Linked DNA regions of Bombyx mori. The protein of the gene in region 1 purifies or fractionates together with the protein of each later gene. This does not show direct contact. Links are inferred from orthologs where the notes say so. Each region holds a gene or a part of one and is shown in the gene's direction. Other genes may lie near its edges. The genes, in order: nudC domain-containing protein 1, ATP-dependent RNA helicase DHX8, pre-mRNA-splicing factor ATP-dependent RNA helicase PRP16, putative pre-mRNA-splicing factor ATP-dependent RNA helicase PRP1 and COPA.

The links.
Region 2: the proteins of nudC domain-containing protein 1 (region 1) and ATP-dependent RNA helicase DHX8 purify together in Homo sapiens (affinity purification with mass spectrometry; 3 studies listed by BioGRID and IntAct, counting the BioPlex papers as one, with this or other methods). This does not show direct contact. The link is inferred for Bombyx mori from reciprocal best matches to the Homo sapiens genes NUDCD1 and DHX8.
Region 3: the proteins of nudC domain-containing protein 1 (region 1) and pre-mRNA-splicing factor ATP-dependent RNA helicase PRP16 purify together in Homo sapiens (co-immunoprecipitation; 3 studies listed by BioGRID and IntAct, with this or other methods). This does not show direct contact. The link is inferred for Bombyx mori from reciprocal best matches to the Homo sapiens genes NUDCD1 and DHX38.
Region 4: the proteins of nudC domain-containing protein 1 (region 1) and putative pre-mRNA-splicing factor ATP-dependent RNA helicase PRP1 purify together in Homo sapiens (co-immunoprecipitation; 3 studies listed by BioGRID and IntAct, with this or other methods). This does not show direct contact. The link is inferred for Bombyx mori from reciprocal best matches to the Homo sapiens genes NUDCD1 and DHX15.
Region 5: the proteins of nudC domain-containing protein 1 (region 1) and COPA purify together in Homo sapiens (co-immunoprecipitation; 3 studies listed by BioGRID and IntAct, with this or other methods). This does not show direct contact. The link is inferred for Bombyx mori from reciprocal best matches to the Homo sapiens genes NUDCD1 and COPA.

The regions. Positions count from the first base shown.
Region 1 is NC_085121.1:551,921-556,163, reverse strand, and holds nudC domain-containing protein 1, read left to right. Parts: upstream 1-1,398; 5' UTR 1,399-1,648; coding exon 1,649-2,891; intron 2,892-3,399; coding exon 3,400-3,893; 3' UTR 3,894-3,909; downstream 3,910-4,243. Other genes in the region: uncharacterized protein LOC101739462, read right to left, coding at 55-111.
Region 2 is NC_085116.1:15,844,016-15,847,816, reverse strand, and holds part of ATP-dependent RNA helicase DHX8, read left to right. Parts: intron 1-25; coding exon 26-277; intron 278-806; coding exon 807-1,101; intron 1,102-1,447; coding exon 1,448-1,665; intron 1,666-2,117; coding exon 2,118-2,365; intron 2,366-2,929; coding exon 2,930-3,596; intron 3,597-3,801.
Region 3 is NC_085117.1:18,329,598-18,333,398, forward strand, and holds part of pre-mRNA-splicing factor ATP-dependent RNA helicase PRP16, read left to right. Parts: intron 1-304; coding exon 305-403; intron 404-1,449; exon of another isoform or gene 1,450-1,462; coding exon of another isoform or gene 1,463-1,839; intron 1,840-2,034; coding exon of another isoform or gene 2,035-2,167; exon of another isoform or gene 2,168-2,479; coding exon 2,480-2,609; intron 2,610-2,687; coding exon 2,688-2,777; intron 2,778-3,801. Other genes in the region: uncharacterized protein LOC105842458, read right to left, coding at 1,463-1,839, 2,035-2,167. UniProt on the Homo sapiens protein: Probable ATP-binding RNA helicase. Involved in pre-mRNA splicing as component of the spliceosome.
Region 4 is NC_085130.1:9,705,841-9,709,641, forward strand, and holds part of putative pre-mRNA-splicing factor ATP-dependent RNA helicase PRP1, read left to right. Parts: coding exon 1-695; intron 696-1,589; coding exon 1,590-1,726; intron 1,727-2,857; coding exon 2,858-2,995; intron 2,996-3,801.
Region 5 is NC_085132.1:3,498,563-3,502,363, reverse strand, and holds part of COPA (coatomer protein complex subunit alpha), read left to right. Parts: intron 1-409; coding exon 410-630; intron 631-1,527; coding exon 1,528-1,665; intron 1,666-3,025; coding exon 3,026-3,129; intron 3,130-3,801. UniProt on the Homo sapiens protein: The coatomer is a cytosolic protein complex that binds to dilysine motifs and reversibly associates with Golgi non-clathrin-coated vesicles, which further mediate biosynthetic protein transport from the ER, via the Golgi up to the trans Golgi network.

The DNA.
Region 1 (4,243 bases):
TTTTAAATTATTTGAACTTAGTTGAACCTGGCTTCACGTTCCATGCAGAATTACCGAAGATACGTCTTCAAAATGCATGTCGCGATAATTGGTATTTTTAACAAATGGCATTTTTATTTCGCAATTTATTGTAAAATTCTGTGGTCATCCAAATATTCCAAAATAATAAATAATGTGGGTTATGTTATGTTGACAGTTTTTTGGATTTTGAAGATTTTATGGCAATTTTTTAAGGGATTTTATGACCTGGTAACGAACACCTTTAGGTCAAGTCTTATATCATCACTACATAGTTTAAAACAAAGTCGCTTTCTCTGTCCCTATATCCCTATGTATTTGTATACTTAAATCCTTAAAACTACGCAACGGATTCTGATGCGGTTTTTTTTAATAGATAGAGTGATTGAAGGTTTGATTGAAGAGGAAGGTTTATATATAGGTTTATATATAAGGTTTATATGTTTATATATCCATTAAATAATGGAGAAATCAATAATAAATTACAGTTTCCGAAGCGAAGCGAGGGCGGGTCGCTAGTTAATTTATAATTTATATTCATTATTTTATGAAAAATGATAATAAGGAATAAAATGAAATATCATCATCAGCCTGCGGCAGTCCACTACTGGACATAGGCCTCTCCCAAAGCACGCCATGGCGCCACTGAACCCGATCTTCGGTTCTACGCTTCCAGTCATTGCCAGCTGCCTTGCGCAGGTCGTCACTTCATCTAGAAGGAGGGCGTCCTACACTACGTTTGAAGATGAAATATAATCTCAGTAAAATGGTGGTCATTTACTGAGATTTTTTCAGTGGACTTTTTGGAGGATCCCGAGATGATATCAGCGGCTTTGTTTCATTTTCCCACATTTGTGCACTTACACAGATATTAAACAGTTAATAAACCATCGTTATTACACATTTAAACCTGAAGAAACACTAAATAGACAAAATAAAATAAATCTCACAACTTCACTCCTCGCGTTTCCGCCTTTCTTCCTCCGCCGCGGCGTCACCGTCCTTTGTATTGGAATATTTACAATGGTCAGGTCAGTTTGTTACTGCCAGGGCCTATATATATATATTAATACACAATATCAATATAATAACAATATAATTTATTTACATTTTACACTGTTGTATGATTAAACATAGAATATTTACAACATGCAGCTTACCATAGAATTAAACACATTAAGAATTTTATTTATTTTTTATTTATGTAGTATCGCATTACTCGTAATATTAACTTCGAAAATTAATGGCTACCTTTTTTTGTAAGAATAAAGCTCATTTCATTTTATTTCATTTCATGCCATGTTTCATATTAATCAAGTTCATTTCATTTCATTTCATAAAATAAACATAAAAAAAATATATATAAAATATTACGTTGTATCAGTTGTATAGTACGATACCGTTGCCTTTCCGTTTGGAAAAATAAAATATACTACTACTGACTACTCATTAAAAAGTGTTTATTCTATGCTCATTTTTATGAAAAGTAGGAAGTAGAGGTAGATACTGAAAAGTGGAACTTTATTATAAATTATGTACATTACATAGGTACATACCTATTTGTGAAAATTGAGAATACTTTTAAGCATTGTTAGGTTAGTTTAAATAGAAAATAATCGAAAACTTCAAAATGTCATCTTCCCTCGTAGAATTACGACCAAACAGACGTCTACTGGAATTAGACTTCGAAGGATACAAATTAAACTTACAAGCCCTACCCCACTATAGCTTAGAGCTAGCTTCTCCCGTGGATAAAGTTTATCCCGACGATGTCCAGTACTCTTTCGTTCACGCAAAACTTTTTGCACTACATAACCATCTAGTCCTTGATTATTGGGATTATTCGTTCAACTATTATTACATTGACAAAAACCAGCAAGTAAGACATGTTACCTTTGAAAATATAAATCACACATTCCAAAATAATATTGTTTATGATATCCCAGCCCACATTGAAAGGAAACCAGGTCATTTCAACCCTTCACTGACATTTCCTGCAAGTAATTTAGCAGTAGTCAGTGATGGTACAGGAATGTTACACATAGTCGACACAGGACCAAGAAATAGGTCTGCTGGTAGGAATCAACTCTGGCATACCCTACAATCCAGCTTAATACTCGGAGAGAACAAGTACTTTGTTATTGTTGATGCACGAATACAAGAGAAGAAAAATACTGAAACTTTGCATTGCTTACTTCAATCAGTTCAACAAAATGAAAAACATTTTGAGTCTGTTCTTACTTGGGTGTCCTTTGATAATGATGGAGAGTCTTGGAAGCAGATGAGTTTCAGACAAGTACAAGGAAAGGGTATAGTGCACTATGCCGCCATAGAAACCAGCTGCAGTGCTTTGTATGTTGCATCGGACAATATCTTTAAATTTACCATGGATTCTGAAACAGAGATTACTCAGAAAAATCAAAGGATGGAATCGAGAAAAATTATTTACACATGGCTTCAGACATCAGAGGATGTAACAGTCACGTTAAAATTAGAAGAAAAATACAATAAGAAACATTTCCATGTGTTAGTTTCACCAATTACCATCAAAGTGAGTTATGCTGGAAAGACATTTGTGGAGGGAAAACTAAAGCACAACGTGGACAGTAATTTGACTACATGGAATGTTCAGGAAGATGGTAAAGTTGATATTCTAATTACAAAATCTGATAGTATGTTATGGGATGAATTAATTGAAGGAGGGGATCCCAATGGTGAACAGATAGTAGACGCAAATTTAGTAGAAGAAGCACACCAAAGACTAGCACATTTATGTTCTGAAACAGAAGCTACCAGTGAACAGTCAGTGCCAGGGTTCTCAACACAAGAACTAGAAGAGTGTGATGCTGCTTCTGAAGAAGACACTGTGTTAGGTATGAAAATAAATCACATTATTTCTTATTGACAAACGGGCTCATCTCCTACATGTTTTTGATATTTGACAGTAGCCCATATGGGCTTCTATATGGAAACTGAGGTTAAAGTCTCACTTGTATTAAAATGCTTGAAATCAAAACTCAATGATTGTAGGGTGGTAGTCCCAAACCCGTACAATAGGTTGACCACAATATGTCAATTTTTCTACTTTAACAATATGTCAATTTACTCACCCGTACTCAGCCCACCTGGTGTTAAGTGGTTACTAGAGCCCATAGACATCTACAACGTAAATGACCTACCTTGAGCTATGAGTTCTAAAGTCTCCGTTTTTACAATATAATGGCTGCCCCAATCATCAAACCAAAATGTATTACTGCTTCACACCAGAAATAGGCAGGTGGCTACCTACCCGTGCGGACTCACAATACTTCCTACCACCAGTAAACTTACAATTTCTACAAAACAACTAATTTAAAAAATTGTATTATTATTTTATTACAGTAAGGCTTGATGCTACTAATCATGAAATCACACATCGGATACCATTAAGTGTTCACCAATACCTCTTCAGTGTAAGATTGGAAACTCAAGAAGTCCCAGCATTAGCCTTAAGACAAGATGTAGATGCTTGCATATGGCAACCATACTCTTTACTAGTAAACACAGAAACCTGGCCTGTGACCCATCAAGGGACATTATCTGCATTTGGTTATGTTCAGTCTTCAAAACAAAATAGAAAATTTGTTACATGTCCTCCTAACTTCTCATACAGTGTTGTATGTGAATCTGAGAGACATATATTCATTTATCGAAGTACTGGTAACCAAGATTCACAACTGAGAAAACGTACAGGAGGAATGATGAAAGCCATAAAAGTGGGACAACAAAATTTATTCAACATTGACAAATATGGAGAAGTTTTAGGAATTAATGCTACAAATGAGTATTTATTTATATTGACAGAGAAAACATTAGTGGCTATTGAAGTGCAATAAAAATATGTTTCATTGATATAGTATGTATTATTATTGCCATCTGTTTCCATAATTTTAAGGAAAATCAAGTTAATGAATGACACAGTTATCTGAACAATTTTTTTTTTTTATTGCTTAGATGGCTAGACGAGCTCACAGCCCACCTGGTGTTAAGTGGTTACTGGAGCCCATAGACATCTACAATGTAAATGCGCCACCTAAGGTCGCGCTAAGGGCGTAAAGGCGTTCTAAGGTCTCAGTATAGTTATAACGGCTACCCCACCCTTCAAACCGAAACGCATTACTGCTTCACGGCAGAAATAGGTGGGGTGGTGGTACCTACCCGTGCGGAATCACAAGAGGTCCTACCA
Region 2 (3,801 bases), on another chromosome or scaffold:
AGAAACAAAAATTTCACATTTACAGGTCAAAGTAATCTCAATAACAGGACAGAAAGTTTCTCTCACAATGAAGGATGTTTGTCAAGAGACCGGGAAGGATCTCAATCCAGCATCCCATGCTCACCTGGAAGCAGAACGTGAAGGCCGAAACCCTGATCGCCCTCCACCAGCAGCAACTGTGTTAGCCGGACTCCAAGGTGGAATAGACCCTGATGAGGATTCTAGTAGGAAGAGGGTGACAAGGATATCCAGTCCTGAGAGATGGGAGATCAAACAGGTAAATGTGAAGTAGGGTTCTCAGGCAGTTTGTTTTCAAAATGTTGTTCAATTGCAGAAAGCATTGAGAGCATGTCATTGAGAAAGATTAATGTTATCTTAAAATATATTTTTTACAGTAGTACTAATACAGTACATTGCTTTTTTATTACCAATACAACAAACTAATAATATTTTATGCATGTATGTAATAATAATATGAAGCAATCTTGATGGAAGTCACAAATATTTATTTAGGGACTCTTTTTTTCTTAAAACTTTTTGTGTGCTTTAAAAATAAAAAATAAAAATTATTTTAGTTGCTCACCACAGAGCAAAAAATATGTAACAAATAAAATGATTTACATTTAAACAATTTAAATTTTACATAATAGAAACATTGTTAAAAAAAGCATAGACAGTTTTCTTGCTTTATAGCTCTGTAAACTTTTCGGACTTCAAATTTAAATACCAATTTTTTCCTGTTTTTTATATATATAAATATTATTACTATAGTCCATATAAAAGAGTAACGAAAAATTCATTTACAGATGATTTCATCAGGCGTAATTGATAAGAGTGAATTACCAGATTTTGATGAGGAGACTGGTTTACTTCCAAAAGATGAAGATGGCGAGGCAGACATTGAAATAGAGCTAGTAGAAGAAGAACCTCCTTTCCTCCAAGGTCATGGCAGAGCCCTTCACGATCTTTCTCCAGTAAGGATAGTTAAGAATCCCGATGGCTCCCTTGCACAAGCAGCCATGATGCAGTCCGCATTGGCCAAAGAGAGGAGAGAGCAGAAGATGATCCAACGGGAGCAGGAAATGGACAGCGTACCTACTGGTATTTTATCTAATTAACGTTTATATCTCTCATAGTAAATGGAATTTACAAGTTGTGATCTAAGTTTCAGTCGTAATTAAACTATAATTCGATTTATAACTTAATATTGTTTTTATTGCTTAGATTGGTGGACGCGCTCACAGCTCACCTGGTGTTAAGTGGTTACTGGAGTCTATAGACATCCACAACGTAAATGCGCCACCCACCTTGAGATATAAGTTCTAAGGTCTCAGTATAGTTACAACGGCTGCCCCACCCTTCAAACCGAAACGCATTACAGCTTCACGGCAGAATTAGGCGGTCAATTGTAGTCAAGAATGTTCAATTTATGTTCATTTATTTCTAGGTCTAAATAAAAATTGGATAGATCCGCTACCTGAGTCCGAGGGTCGAACGTTAGCGGCCAACATGCGAGGCGCGGGCGTGGTCCCTCAAGACTTGCCAGAATGGAAGAAACACGTCATCGGTGGAAAAAAATCCTCATTTGGAAAGAAAACGAATTTATCCCTGCTCGAGCAGAGACAGTCGCTGCCCATATACAAGCTTAGAGATGAACTAACTAAGGTACGTAGTGTGCGCAGTTACGGACTGTTGGAGCAATCATATCTTTTATATATTTTATCATATATCAATCATATATTTTATATAGCCATTTTTATAATCGGAGCTTAATTAACAGTAAGAATTTATACGTACAGCCATCGCGCGTTCAAATCAAATCAAATCAAATAAAATAAAAAATATTCAACATAAATGAAAGTACATACTTATTGAACGTCAAAAGAACTACCGCCAATTCACAAAAACTAGCCTCCGCCCTGAGAAGAACTGGCAAGAAACTCAGCGGGCATGTCTTTTTTTCTATATAATAGTTTTTTTTAAATATTAATTTTTACAATGAGTATTATAACGTAAAAATTATTGCAATATTAAATGCCCGGAGCGAGCAACTCATTCCCACTCTGTGCAATCTTCTAGTTCCGGTCTGAAGGCCTACCGTTGACTCTGTGTTCCAGGCCGTGTCCGACAACCAGATCCTGATCGTGATCGGCGAGACGGGGTCGGGCAAGACGACGCAGATAACGCAGTACGTGTGCGAGTGCGGGCTGGCGGCGCGCGGCAAGGTGGCGTGCACGCAGCCGCGCCGCGTGGCCGCCATGTCCGTCGCCAAGCGCGTTGCCGAGGAGTTCGGCTGCCGGCTGGGCCAGGAGGTGGGCTACACCATACGCTTCGAGGACTGCACCAGCCCGGACACTGTCATCAAGTTAGTGGAACTGCACTGTCCAGATACTTTGTCTAACATTTTAAAATTAACAGTAAAATTTTCAGGTCTGACAACTTTACTCTAAACTATACTGATGGTGAGTGGTTACCGTCGCCCATGGACTTCAGCAATGCCAGGGGCACAGCCAAGCCGCTGCCTACCGGTTACCTTTGGTATATGATTGTGTATATTAAAGTGAGTTTTTTACTGGTGGTAGGACCACTTGTGAGTCCGCACGAGTAGGTACCACCGCCCTGCCTATTTCTGCCGTGAAGCAGTAATGCGTTTCGGATTGAAGGGTGGGGCAGCCGTTATAACTACACTGAGATCTTAGAACTTATATCTCAAGGTGGGTGGCGCATTGACGTTGTAAATGTCTATGGGCTCCAGTAACCACTTAACACCAGCTGGGCTGTGAGCTCGTCCACCCATAGTGTTGTCATATGTATTGCGTATGTCAACAAGCTCATCGATCTACTGAATGTAAGCTTAGTAACTACTACTATCGAGTTACCAGGATGTACGACAAAAAGTTACCAACGTTAAGCCGACTAATAATTTCAGATACATGACGGACGGCATGCTGCTCCGCGAGTGCCTCATGGACCTGGACCTGAAGGCGTACTCGGTGATCATGCTGGACGAGGCGCACGAGCGCACCATCCACACCGACGTGCTGTTCGGTCTGCTGAAGCAGGCCGTGCAGAAGCGCCCCGAACTCAAGCTCATCGTCACGTCCGCCACGCTCGACGCCGTCAAGTTCTCGCAGTACTTCTTCGAGGCCCCGATCTTCACCATCCCCGGTCGAACCTTCCCCGTCGAAGTCTTGTACACCAAGGAACCGGAGACGGACTATTTGGACGCCTCACTGATCACGGTCATGCAGATCCACCTGAGGGAGCCCCCGGGGGATATCCTGCTGTTCCTCACTGGCCAAGAAGAGATTGACACGGCGTGTGAGATATTGTACGAGAGAATGAAGTCCTTGGGGCCGGACGTGCCGGAGCTGATAATTCTGCCGGTGTACTCTGCGCTGCCGTCCGAGATGCAGACCCGGATCTTCGAGCCGGCGCCCCCCGGCTCCAGGAAGGTGGTGATCGCCACCAACATCGCGGAGACGTCGCTGACCATCGACGGTATATACTACGTGGTGGACCCTGGCTTCGTTAAACAGAAAGTCTACAACTCGAAGACTGGAATGGATTCGTTGGTTGTAACTCCTATATCGCAGGTGATACCCCGTTTCTATAAATCCGTGACCAAATTAATCTGTCACCTAAATTTCATAATCATAAGAATACACAGATGATTCGTGTCTGAATTAAAATGATAAAGTGACTAGCTGTACCCGTCCACTTCCCTGGGCATTTAAAATTAACATTATTATTTCTCACCCCCACAAAGATTCTCATGATTAACGCCCCCGCAACTAGTGT
Region 3 (3,801 bases), on another chromosome or scaffold:
TTTCCCACATTTATGCACTTTCACAGATAATAAACAGTTAATAAACCACAGTTACTACACATTTAAACCTGAAGAAACACTAACTAGACAAAATAAAACAAATCACACAATTTCACTCCTCGCGTTCCCGTCAAAAAGTCTCGTGGTCATATTCAGAGGTTTATGTTAAACAGAGAATCAAATGAGTATTTTAAAAAAAGAACGTAAAGTACAGATTATATTTATTTTTGTCACAGACTATAACAGAAAACTAACAGGGAAACATAAAAAGTCTGTACAATAAGTTCTGTGTCCTGTGTTCCAGGAGAGCGTTGACCGCGTCCACCTGCTGGTGCACAACATCGTGCCTCCATTCCTCGACGGAAGAATCATATTCACGAAGCAGCCGGAGCCCGTGATACCGGTACGTGTGCATAAACTTCACGTAAAGTTACTGTCTGTATTGCTGTCGGTACATCTGGTGTGATATGGTCACCAGAGTCCTTGGTCACGTGAAGTCGAAGTCTCGTAGCATTGTGTATCCATTGCCCCCCTTTCAAAACGGAACACGGGACTGCTTCACGCGTGGGTCACCGTTCTGCTTACTCGCGCCGCGAAATAAATATGCATCTTAACCCATGCATCAGCCCGCTGAGTTTCTCGCCGGATCTTCTCAGCGGGTCGCGATTCCGATCCGGTAGTAGATTCATTCGCGAAGCAATTGCTCTTGAGTTGTTAGATCTCCTTCGGACGCGCTCGGGCTGCTGTTAGCAAATCCCACCCCTCCTGACCGAGCCCTTGCTTGCCCACCTGTCCTAGTGAAACTGGAAAGGCCTCCGGGCCACCAGTAATCCTTCAATCATAAAAAAATGCAGTTTCGTTTGTATGCACAGATTTTTTAAATATCGATTCTTTAACCTCATTAGTAAGCACGGCTGACATAATTTATGGTTTAAAGTCGAGGGACTCCGGTATTCACTTTATTATTGTCCAGGAAGGCAGTCCAGCCTTACGCCTTACCTAATGGTGAGTGGTCATCGTCGCTCATCGACATGAGCAATGCCACTATTGTAAAAAATATATAAATATATATGTATAAGTAAATAAGATTTTATTTATTTATTTAGTTGCACCAACAAAGTGATTATCAATACAAGACATTGATAAATTGACAAAAGTACATGGCAGATGTCACCTCAATTATACAGACCGTTCAGCATAAGATGTCCCCTGCCTTGAGAGTTGGTAGCATTGCTAACGGTGTTGCAAACAATATATGTACCTTTTACTCCCTATTATCTTGTGTGTAATGTAAAATTATTGTTTTGGCTTCTGTTGCTCTAATAAAGACCCCCTATATTAGTTTTTCTTCAATATCTTCAAAGCACAGATATCGACCTGACTTATTTTTATTATATGTCTAGATAATATATAGCTAACAGACTAGGAAGTTTGTAAATTATAACACAATTTAAATTTTAAATTATTTATTTATTTCATTTTTACTGACAGTAATTATGGTCGAAAGAAACGATTCCAGACTGTCACTTGCATAAGCGTCGTCTGACGTATCCGAATCTGTACTGCTGTCGTTTCTTAGTTCAATTATGAATTTATCCGTAATATTATCCATGCAGCCATCACGTTCATAAAATTTGTCTTCTAAATGTTTTACGTGTTCACGCTGTTTTTGCCAATCCTGAGGAGTTATCGATGAAAAAGCTTCTTCAGTTAACTTCACGATATTACCAGCTTCTTGGCCGACATTATTGCTAGCTACTCGAGATTTGAGTTTTTGAGACGTAGAGGCAGCAACTTCACCTTCTTTAGTTATTCTACTCATAGTTTTCTCAGACATGCCTGAAATAAAGACATAAAATTTGTATCCTTTTATAAAATTTAATATTTATATAAACTCAAGTAATGACCATATTATCGAAATAAATTAAACTCACTGAGATGTGTACTTTTTTATTTTAATTCTATATGTCAGTAAATTCTTATTACCCATACTAAAGGCATTGTGTCTGAAGCTTGTATCCCCATTTTACTAACCTGTCATTGCGGCGACTCGTGCTCGCACTTGATCGAGTCTAATTAACGGGGCTTGGTTTGCCTTTTCTCTCTCACAAAAGGCATGAACCTTCAACACAATCTCTCTTGCACTGTTTTTAAATGGCTTTGGCATGAATAATTTGAAGGTTATTAAATATTAACACAAAAACTAACGGCACACGTCACAACAGACAATCTGACAACAACAGATTGACAAAAATTACAAGTAATAGTGCCAACATCACGGCAGGGGACAACTTACGGTGAACGATCTGTAGGTGCAACGACAGTGAATTGACAACAAAAATAAAATAAAATATATACCTAAAACTTGATTACATCTGATTACTTATGATTAATTTATATTTAATCGATTAATTTATAGTTTTAGTTTCGTGATATCGATTAGAAAGTTTGTTTAATAATATTTTAAAAAACTTTTTAGGTAAAAGATCCTACGTCGGATATGGCGGTAAACGCACGAAAAGGCTCGGCCTTAGTGAAAGCATTCCGAGAACAAAAGGAGAGACGGAAAGCTCAGAAGAAACATTGGAAATTAGAGGGAACCAAACTAGGTAAATGATACCCGCCAATATTCTCTTCGCCGGCTTTACTAGACACATTAAAATTATAACGTCTCTTTTTTAATACAGGCAACATCATGGGAATACAGAGGGAAAAAGAAGAACTCGAAGATGGCCCTACAAGAGAAGCGTACAAATACGCGGAGCATTTAGATAAAGGTATGTACGTGAAGCGCGCTGTGTGCATTTCATTTTCGTTACGAAGTAATTTTCAATCTACTTCCTTTTTTCAATCTGGCAATATGCGTTTGCAACGCCAATGTTACCACCAACCAATATTAATGAATTTATAAAAACCATTAATTATTAGAACCATAAATATTCCGTCTTACATGATAAAATGATGATGAATGAAGTTAAGTTGATTTATTTTAATAGATTTTTTAATCTATTGACATGAAATGAAACGAGATTACCCTAATGTCCCAGTGTAGATGTTTTGAAGGAAAGTGCGAAGCCATATCCAGTGATTTTGTATCATTTTTCGCTACGTACACAGACGCTAAACTGCTAATAAATCACTATTAGTTACTAGCAGAAGCATTATAATAAAATTAACACTAAACATAATAACGTATCGAATGACCCATTTTGAACTTTTGCAATGAAAATGCACGTATCATCTTCATGACTTATTCTTACCAATTAATCTACAGTTATTATACTACTTTTGAAGTGAAAACTTCTTTAGAATCGTTGTGATTTCAAACCGGATGCAACGGAAAAAACGACAGGTAAGAGACACAAATACAAAAATGTGTAGGATGAAGCCAGCAAAGAATGAGACAGAAATATACATACTATTTAATACAGCGCCATCTGTGAGATTTTTCAATACTAACGTGTGTATGAAAGCTCTTGTAGTGAATTTTAATTTAGGATTATACGTGAAATTAAAATATCAATTCACAGAGGGCGCTACCTTACAATTATTTACTAATGACAAAATTTTACATATACTTAAGACGTTTAGGATAATTGTATTTTAATTTTGGAAGGTTTCACTTCTACCACGTGTGAATTGCACACATTTTGTTTTTTTGTTTTTGTTTTGTTTTGTGTATTTTGAGTAATACTTGTCGTATACCGTTATCTACCCGCTATGGTAGAAATAGGTACCAGTAAGGGTTAGTATGATTAGTGTTAACAAACGAAACATTTAACGCCAATTAGCTGCCCGCGA
Region 4 (3,801 bases), on another chromosome or scaffold:
ATGGGTGTTCTCAAAGAAGTCATAAAACAGAGGTCCGATTTGAAACTCGTTATTATGTCAGCCACATTAGATGCTGGAAAGTTCCAGCATTATTTTGACAATGCTCCATTAATGAACATTCCTGGTCGGACTCATCCGGTAGAAATATTTTACACTCCACAACCTGAACGAGATTACCTAGAAGCTGCGATAAGGACTGTAATACAAATCCATATGTGTGAAGAGATCTCTGGTGATATACTACTATTTTTAACTGGACAAGAGGAGATTGAGGATGCTTGTAAGAGAATTAAAAGAGAAATAGACAATCTGGGAACTGATGCAGGAGAGCTAAAGTGCATACCGTTATATTCAACATTGCCGCCAAATTTACAGCAACGGATCTTTGAGCCGGCACCTCCAAATCGACCAAACGGAGCCATCGGCAGGAAGGTGGTAGTGTCCACAAACATCGCTGAAACATCTCTGACTATTGATGGTGTTGTTTTTGTCATTGACCCAGGTTTTGCGAAACAAAAAGTTTATAATCCCCGTATAAGGGTGGAATCGTTATTGGTTTCTCCGATAAGTAAAGCATCAGCCCAACAGAGAGCGGGGAGGGCCGGCAGAACTAGACCTGGGAAGTGCTTCCGGTTATATACTGAGAAAGCATACAAGGATGAAATGCAGGACAATACTTATCCTGAGATTTTGAGGTAATTTTTATAACGGTTTGTATGTGACTACCGTTTCGAATGTAGTGAGTAAATACTGTATTTATTTCTATACTAACAGTTGTAATGTTCAATTATTATTCTTATATAATAACAAGATAAGCTCTGTTTGTCTATATTTTATAGCTTTTCATGTGCATCATTATTTCTGTCTGATTGGGTGTGGTCACTGTCAATTGCTGAGAATCATCACTTTATATTACTGTCAATTGTGTATAAAGTTTACTTGTTGTTTAGTAGTCCAAATAAAAATGTATGTGCTATAAAATCATTAATTGTGACGAATCTTGGATATTTTTTCCAAAATAGGTTTACGTCATAGAAACAACAAGCTAGCTATATAGGCTATATATAGTTTCTAGAATATATTTTCATACAAGTCGGTGTAGTGGGCAGAGCACGACAATGTTTCTCTACTCTAATATAATTTTGAATGGGTTACAATTCGCGGTATAAGAATCAGACCAAACGCATACCCACAAAAAAAAAATTTTTTTTTTCATGAAACTGTTCAAAATATAGTATTTTATGAATTGCCAAAACGACGTAATGGTATAGTTGATATTTAACAAATTCCAAAACAACTAAAAAGCCTAAGAATCACTTTCAATGGAACCAGAAAAATGTATGGAATTTGGTATGAAACGAGAAAAATTGAGAATTTTTTCCTGACTTTATCTGACTCTTACACAGCGAATTACACTAACATAGTTCTAGAAGCTAACACCCTAAATATCTCAGCTATTGAATGGGTGAAGTCTAAGAGTACTGTTACTGTCATGTCAATATGCTAAAATCACACCCCCTTTAAGTTTGTCCTGTTCGGGTAATGAAGTGAGTTGTAATCTAATAATACGACTGCGTTGCCCGTTCCAGATCAAACTTAGGATCTGTAGTTTTGCAGTTGAAGAAGTTGGGCATCGATGACCTGGTGCATTTCGATTTCATGGATCCACCGGCTCCGGAGACACTCATGCGGGCGCTCGAGCTGCTCAACTATCTGGCTGCGCTGGGTGAGCTTGTGCTGTATATTGTTTTTGAAATTACTTTAGAAGCGTTCATGGATTATTGTAACTAGAGTTGCCACGAATAGTGATTTGGCCGAATACCGAATATTCGGCAACGCTGTTGGCGGAAGCGCCGAATATTCGGCACAAAGTACATGCTAGTTAGTCGAGCGCGTAAAGAATAATATGACCGGTTGGGACCTGTCTCCATCGTGTGCGGGCGGTGTCCGGCCATTAGACTGTTTCAGTTGCGAGTAAATCACGTCACGGCACGCTTTGTCAGATCAATATAAATGAAACATTACGATTTTGTAGAAAACTTTTATCGTCAGTTCTTTTTCAATTGTTGTTCATTAAAAAATGACACCAATTAATAAAAAATCGGCCATATGGGAATATTATGAGATTTGTAATGAAAATAATAAACAAAAATCATTATTCGAGTTTTTTGACGAAACATGATTTGAGACCTGCCCTTCATTTTTCGGTATTGGGCCGAATAGTACCTATTATTTGGCCCAATACCGAATACCAAACAAAGTGGCCGAATAGGCCGACTACCGAATATTCGTGGCATGTCTAATTGTAACGTCACTAAAAAAGGCAAAGACAAAACAATCATAATATACCATTTGTCTATTCTTTTTGTGGTTTTTCTTAAGCTTTCGTAAGGATACTGTTAGTAATAAATAAAAGTTGGAAATACTTAGCCTTACTTACTTCATGAAGAAATGACAATAACAAAACAAAAGACAGAAATGTAATGGAATTTTGACCATTCAATGGATTTATAGATGTATGCAGTGAGGACAGACCTATGCAGGCTCTGCATGGCCTGCCATGAATTAAGTTTTTTTGCTTAAATCTGTGGGCGTCTATCACCCACCTGATGTTAAGTGGCTACCAGAGCCCTCAGCCATCAATAACGTAAATTTCGCCATCTACATTGAGACATGAGTTCTGAGTATACGTTTTACAGTACAATGGCTGCCTTCGAACCGGAACACATTACTGCTTCACGGCAGAAATAGTCATGGTCGTGGTATCTACTCGCGTGAGCTCACAAGACGACCTAACACCAGTCGAGACAGATGGGTTATTATTCATGATGTTCATTTGTCATTTGATTCTCCACAGATGATGACGGTAACCTCACTGACCTGGGTGCTGTGATGGCGGAGTTCCCCCTCGACCCACAGCTGGCCAAGATGCTGATAGCCAGCTGCAATCACAACTGTTCCAACGAGATCCTCTCCATCACTGCCATGCTGTCAGGTAGGATGTTCCATATCTGTGCTTACAGATAGCGTGGTCATCGTTCTCGTCGAACCCGTCGCTTGCGACGAAGGGCTCGACGAGTAAATTAACCCACAGACACAGCCCACTGAGTTTCTCGCCGGATCTTCTCAGTGGGTCGCGTTTTCAATCCGGTGGTAGATTCTGCGAAGCACGGCTCTTGCTAGGGTTCGTGTTAGCAACGACGTCAGGTTTGAGCCCCGTGAGCTCACCTACTAGTTAAGGTTACACTGAAATAGCCTCTCAAGGGTCTCAGCTTAGGTAGGAAAAAAAACCCAGATAGTATTTGACTTGCTTTAAGTGATTTCTTGTTGGGTATACGATACTGTCTGTTTATTTAAAGAAAAAATCACAAGCCACACTTCACTAGTTTGTTTTAATAGAAATTAATTTTAATAAATTGTCCAACTCCTGAACTGGGGGTAGCCTCAATATCTACAGACTTTTAACTTGGAGAATATACTGGGCAACTAGGTCAAAATGCTGAAACTACAATATATCGAATAAGGATGATGCGATTACAATTGCAAATAAGACAAGCATCATGTAGCTGAATGCACCATAAGCTCATAGAAATAATTTGTTTGATACGATATTGTATAAGTAATGGTTACATGGCTCATCGATGGAGCATGAGACAAAAAATTGTTGAAGAGTGCGGAGTTGAGTGACCCCTCCCAGCACTGACGCTTCCTCACCACATTTGTCATAAAACTAGGGGCCTGTTTCAAACCCAATGAAGGAAGTTTTAACGATGACATTTGTTCTATGCATCAATGGGAGTC
Region 5 (3,801 bases), on another chromosome or scaffold:
GAGATAGAAATATACATACTATTTAATACAGCGCCATCTGTGAGATTTTTTAATACTAACGTGTGTATGAAAGCTCTTGTAGTGAATTTTAATTTAGGATTATACGTGAAATTAAAATATCAATTCATAGAGGGCGCTACCTTACAATTATTTACTAATGACAAAATTTTACATATACTTAAGACGTTTAGGATAATTGTATTTTAATTTTGGAAGGTTTCACTTCTACCACGTGTGAATTGCACACATGTATTTTTATTTTATTTTTTTATTGCCTTTGTAGGCAGACGAGCGTACGGCCCACCTGATGGTAAGTGGTTACCGTCGCCCATGGACTTCAGCAATGCCAGGCGCAGAGCCAAGCCGCTGCCTACAAATAACATAGCTAATTTGAATTACATATTTTCAGGTGAAAGTATCGAAATGTCGTTACGCCATTTGGAATACCGATATGTCAATAGTGGCTCTGTTGGGCAAGCACACGGTCACACTATGCACCAAGAAGCTGGAGCAGCTGTGCTGCATCACCGAAGGGGCCAGAGTCAAGTCCGGCGCCTTCGACGATTCCACACCGCAGCCCGTGTTCATATACACCACGGCAAATCACATCAAGTACTGCTGTAAGGACGGGTGAGTGTCTTCTGGTCAGTAGAATCGCTAGGATGTGCTGGAAGTAGTGGTACATTCCAGTTTGAAGGAACGATTTATCGCCTGTGCTCATGTTTTAAAATCTCTATGGTCTTCGCTAACCACAATGGCGACTGTCAAAGAAAACGATGCAATGTTTTTTTTCTTTCTTAAGCTATTGCATAGCTTTTATCGCGGGCTTTGAGCGCGGCGACTAAATCAAGAAGTTCCGTAACGAAAATAAAACCTAACACCCTCCACTCCGCCTACCATGTAGCTCGCGTCTAACACATTCACACGTTGCGCTTGTGTAGTGTTTGTAAATAAGCGCGCGGCGTGACGTCGCACTGCATGCGCATCATGAAAAGTCTGCCCATCTCTCTCTCGCGCGTGGTCTAGCTTATGAGTTGAAGGGGAGAGTTAATGTTTTGCTTTTGTTAATGTTTATAAATATAGCGTATTCTTATTTTATTATTATTTTTAATATTAAATTATCATTGTTTAATTATAATGGCATAAGTTGATAAAATATGCTATGCCATAGCTTTACCGCGACAGTCCCCGAGTGCCACACGTGTTTTTTTTTTCTACATATTCTATTAACCTCGAGGGGTTATTCTAGATTCACCGAACTATTAGGTGAGCTCACGCGGCTCAAACCGGAGTACTGCTAACACTGGCTCTACCAAGAGCAGTGCTTCACAGAATCTACCACCGAATCAGAAACGCGACCCACTGAGAAGATCTGACGAGAAACTCAGTGGGCTGTGTCTATGGGTTAATTTACTAGTCGATGGGTTCGACGAGGACGGTGACCGGTGCTTGAGGTACCTAAAAGCACCGTTAATGGATCGGGAGGGTCCGTAATGACGTGAGTTTTTGTTGTTGTTTTTCCCACAGCGATTACGGCATCATCCGCACTCTGGACGTGCCCGTGTACGCGGTGCGCGTGCTGTCGACGGAGACGGGCGCGCGCGTGGTGTGCTTGGACCGAGAATGCAGGCCCAAAGTACTCAACATCGACCCCACGGAATACAGGCTAGTTTTAAAATAACTATATTCAGATTAATTATTAACACATAACGTTCATCATCTGACCTCAAATTAAGATCCCCTCTACCATCATTCATGATAATCGGTTGCTCTTGGCAGAGCAGTCGTGGTCATGTGGAATTCTTGCTTATATGCCTTGATAGATGTTTTTCATAGTTTGCGAATCGAGACCCGGCGCACTCACGCGTTAAGTGGGGTTTCAGTAAGGTCTTCCACCTGATCAGTCCAACGCATGGGGATTCTTCCACGAGATCTCTTCCTTTCCAGTGAGTTTCGCTCAGTCCACATACGGCTATTCCACACCTAACGAGTTCCTTTTCTATCATTATTAGTTTACCCGGTTGCAGCAAGCCACGGACATTCCAGTTACCTATTTTTATGATGTTTTTAAGCATAGATACAGGTTTTCCAGTAGCATTATTTCCATGCAACGCCTGGTCGCTTACATTGACATGGCCGGTAACCCATTTCACACTGTTTGTCCCGGACACAAGACGGCGCCGATTGCCAAGCGGCTACCTCGGCTTACATTTTTTCGTATTCTTCCTATTCATGACTTTCTTGGGAATATAGTGCAGTGGTTTCTCGTGAAAATAAATAAATAAATAAAATAAAATCCCTTCTATAGACCTTTATATTTTATATTAACAATTTTTTTACCATGTATGTATTATACGCGTATACATCATACGTGTATACATCCCACAAACATTTTCCCGATGTAGGCGGAAAACACGTTCATTTATAATATAAAACCACACCCTGTATCGCTCCATTAATTGATAAGGAGGTTTAAGATAAGGATTTAAGTAAGCTGTGAGATGAGATTGATTGAATGAGAATTTTAGATTATAACAAAATAAACTGGTCATTTGAACTGGTCCAATGATCGGTGTTCTTTAGAATTCAGGCTTTATCTCATACGTGTGTGTACTCTGAAAATAAAAAGATTAAAGTCTTAGCTTTGTACTATTGGATGTGGACTTTTGGCTCGGTAGATAGATTTAAGTGATCAAGTTAAAAAATCACCCTGTATATGTTCAATAGAGAGAGAATACACTTTATTTCACACCAAAACACAATTTACATTAAAGAAAACAGTCAAAAAGCAGATACATTTGTATAATAGGCGGTCTTATCGCTAAAAGCGATCTCTTCCAGACTACCGTTTAATTTACAGAAATTCTGCAAAATATAAAAATATAGCAGGTATGTTGCGATGTACCATAGACAATACATTATTATAGAAAATATTTACATATAGATAAACAGATATATACCAATATACATACTTACATACAATACATTATATAGGTTATGAACAAAATAATTTTTTTGGTTTTAGATTCAAATTAGCTCTAGTGACGCGCCAATACGATCAGGTGTTGCACATGGTGCGGACGGCTAAACTTGTCGGGCAGAGCATCATCGCCTACTTGCAGGAGAAGGGTGCGTTGTGGTTTATGATTTTTTTTTTATTGCGTACTGGGTGACTTGAGATTTGAGTTCTAAGCTCTCAGTATAATGGAGCAGCCCCACACTTTAAACCAAAACGCATTACTGCTTCACGGCAGAAAATAGGCAGGATGGTGGTACCTACCCGTGCGGACTCACAAGAGGTCCTACCACCAATAATTATAATTTTGCGGGTTTGATTTTTATTACACGATGTTATTCCTTCACCGTGGAAGTCAATCGTGAACATTCGTTGAGTACGTATTTCATTAGAAAAATTGGTATCCATACCGGACGTATCCTTTAGGCCACGGCGACTTTAAAATTGTACCTGGATAACTTATGACAGGCAGGAGATCCTTCCCGGTGGCAGGCCTTATGACAGGCAGGATTATTAGGCTAAACTCGCCTCACGCGGCCCAAATAGTGCCAAGCCGTTACTGAACTCCATAGACGCAGTGTGAATGCGGCTGCAAACTGTGTAATGCAGTCATGCCTGAGTCAGAAGCAGTTATGCCTTCCTGTTTGTAGGGTGGGGCAAACGTTGTGTAATGTACAGCTAACCCTCCTATAACTCGGTAGACATGTTCCTACAAAGTTCCGTGTTGTCTGAACCGTGTTATACGAGACCAGAAGCCAGTACAAAAAGGATAGATTTTTTTAAGC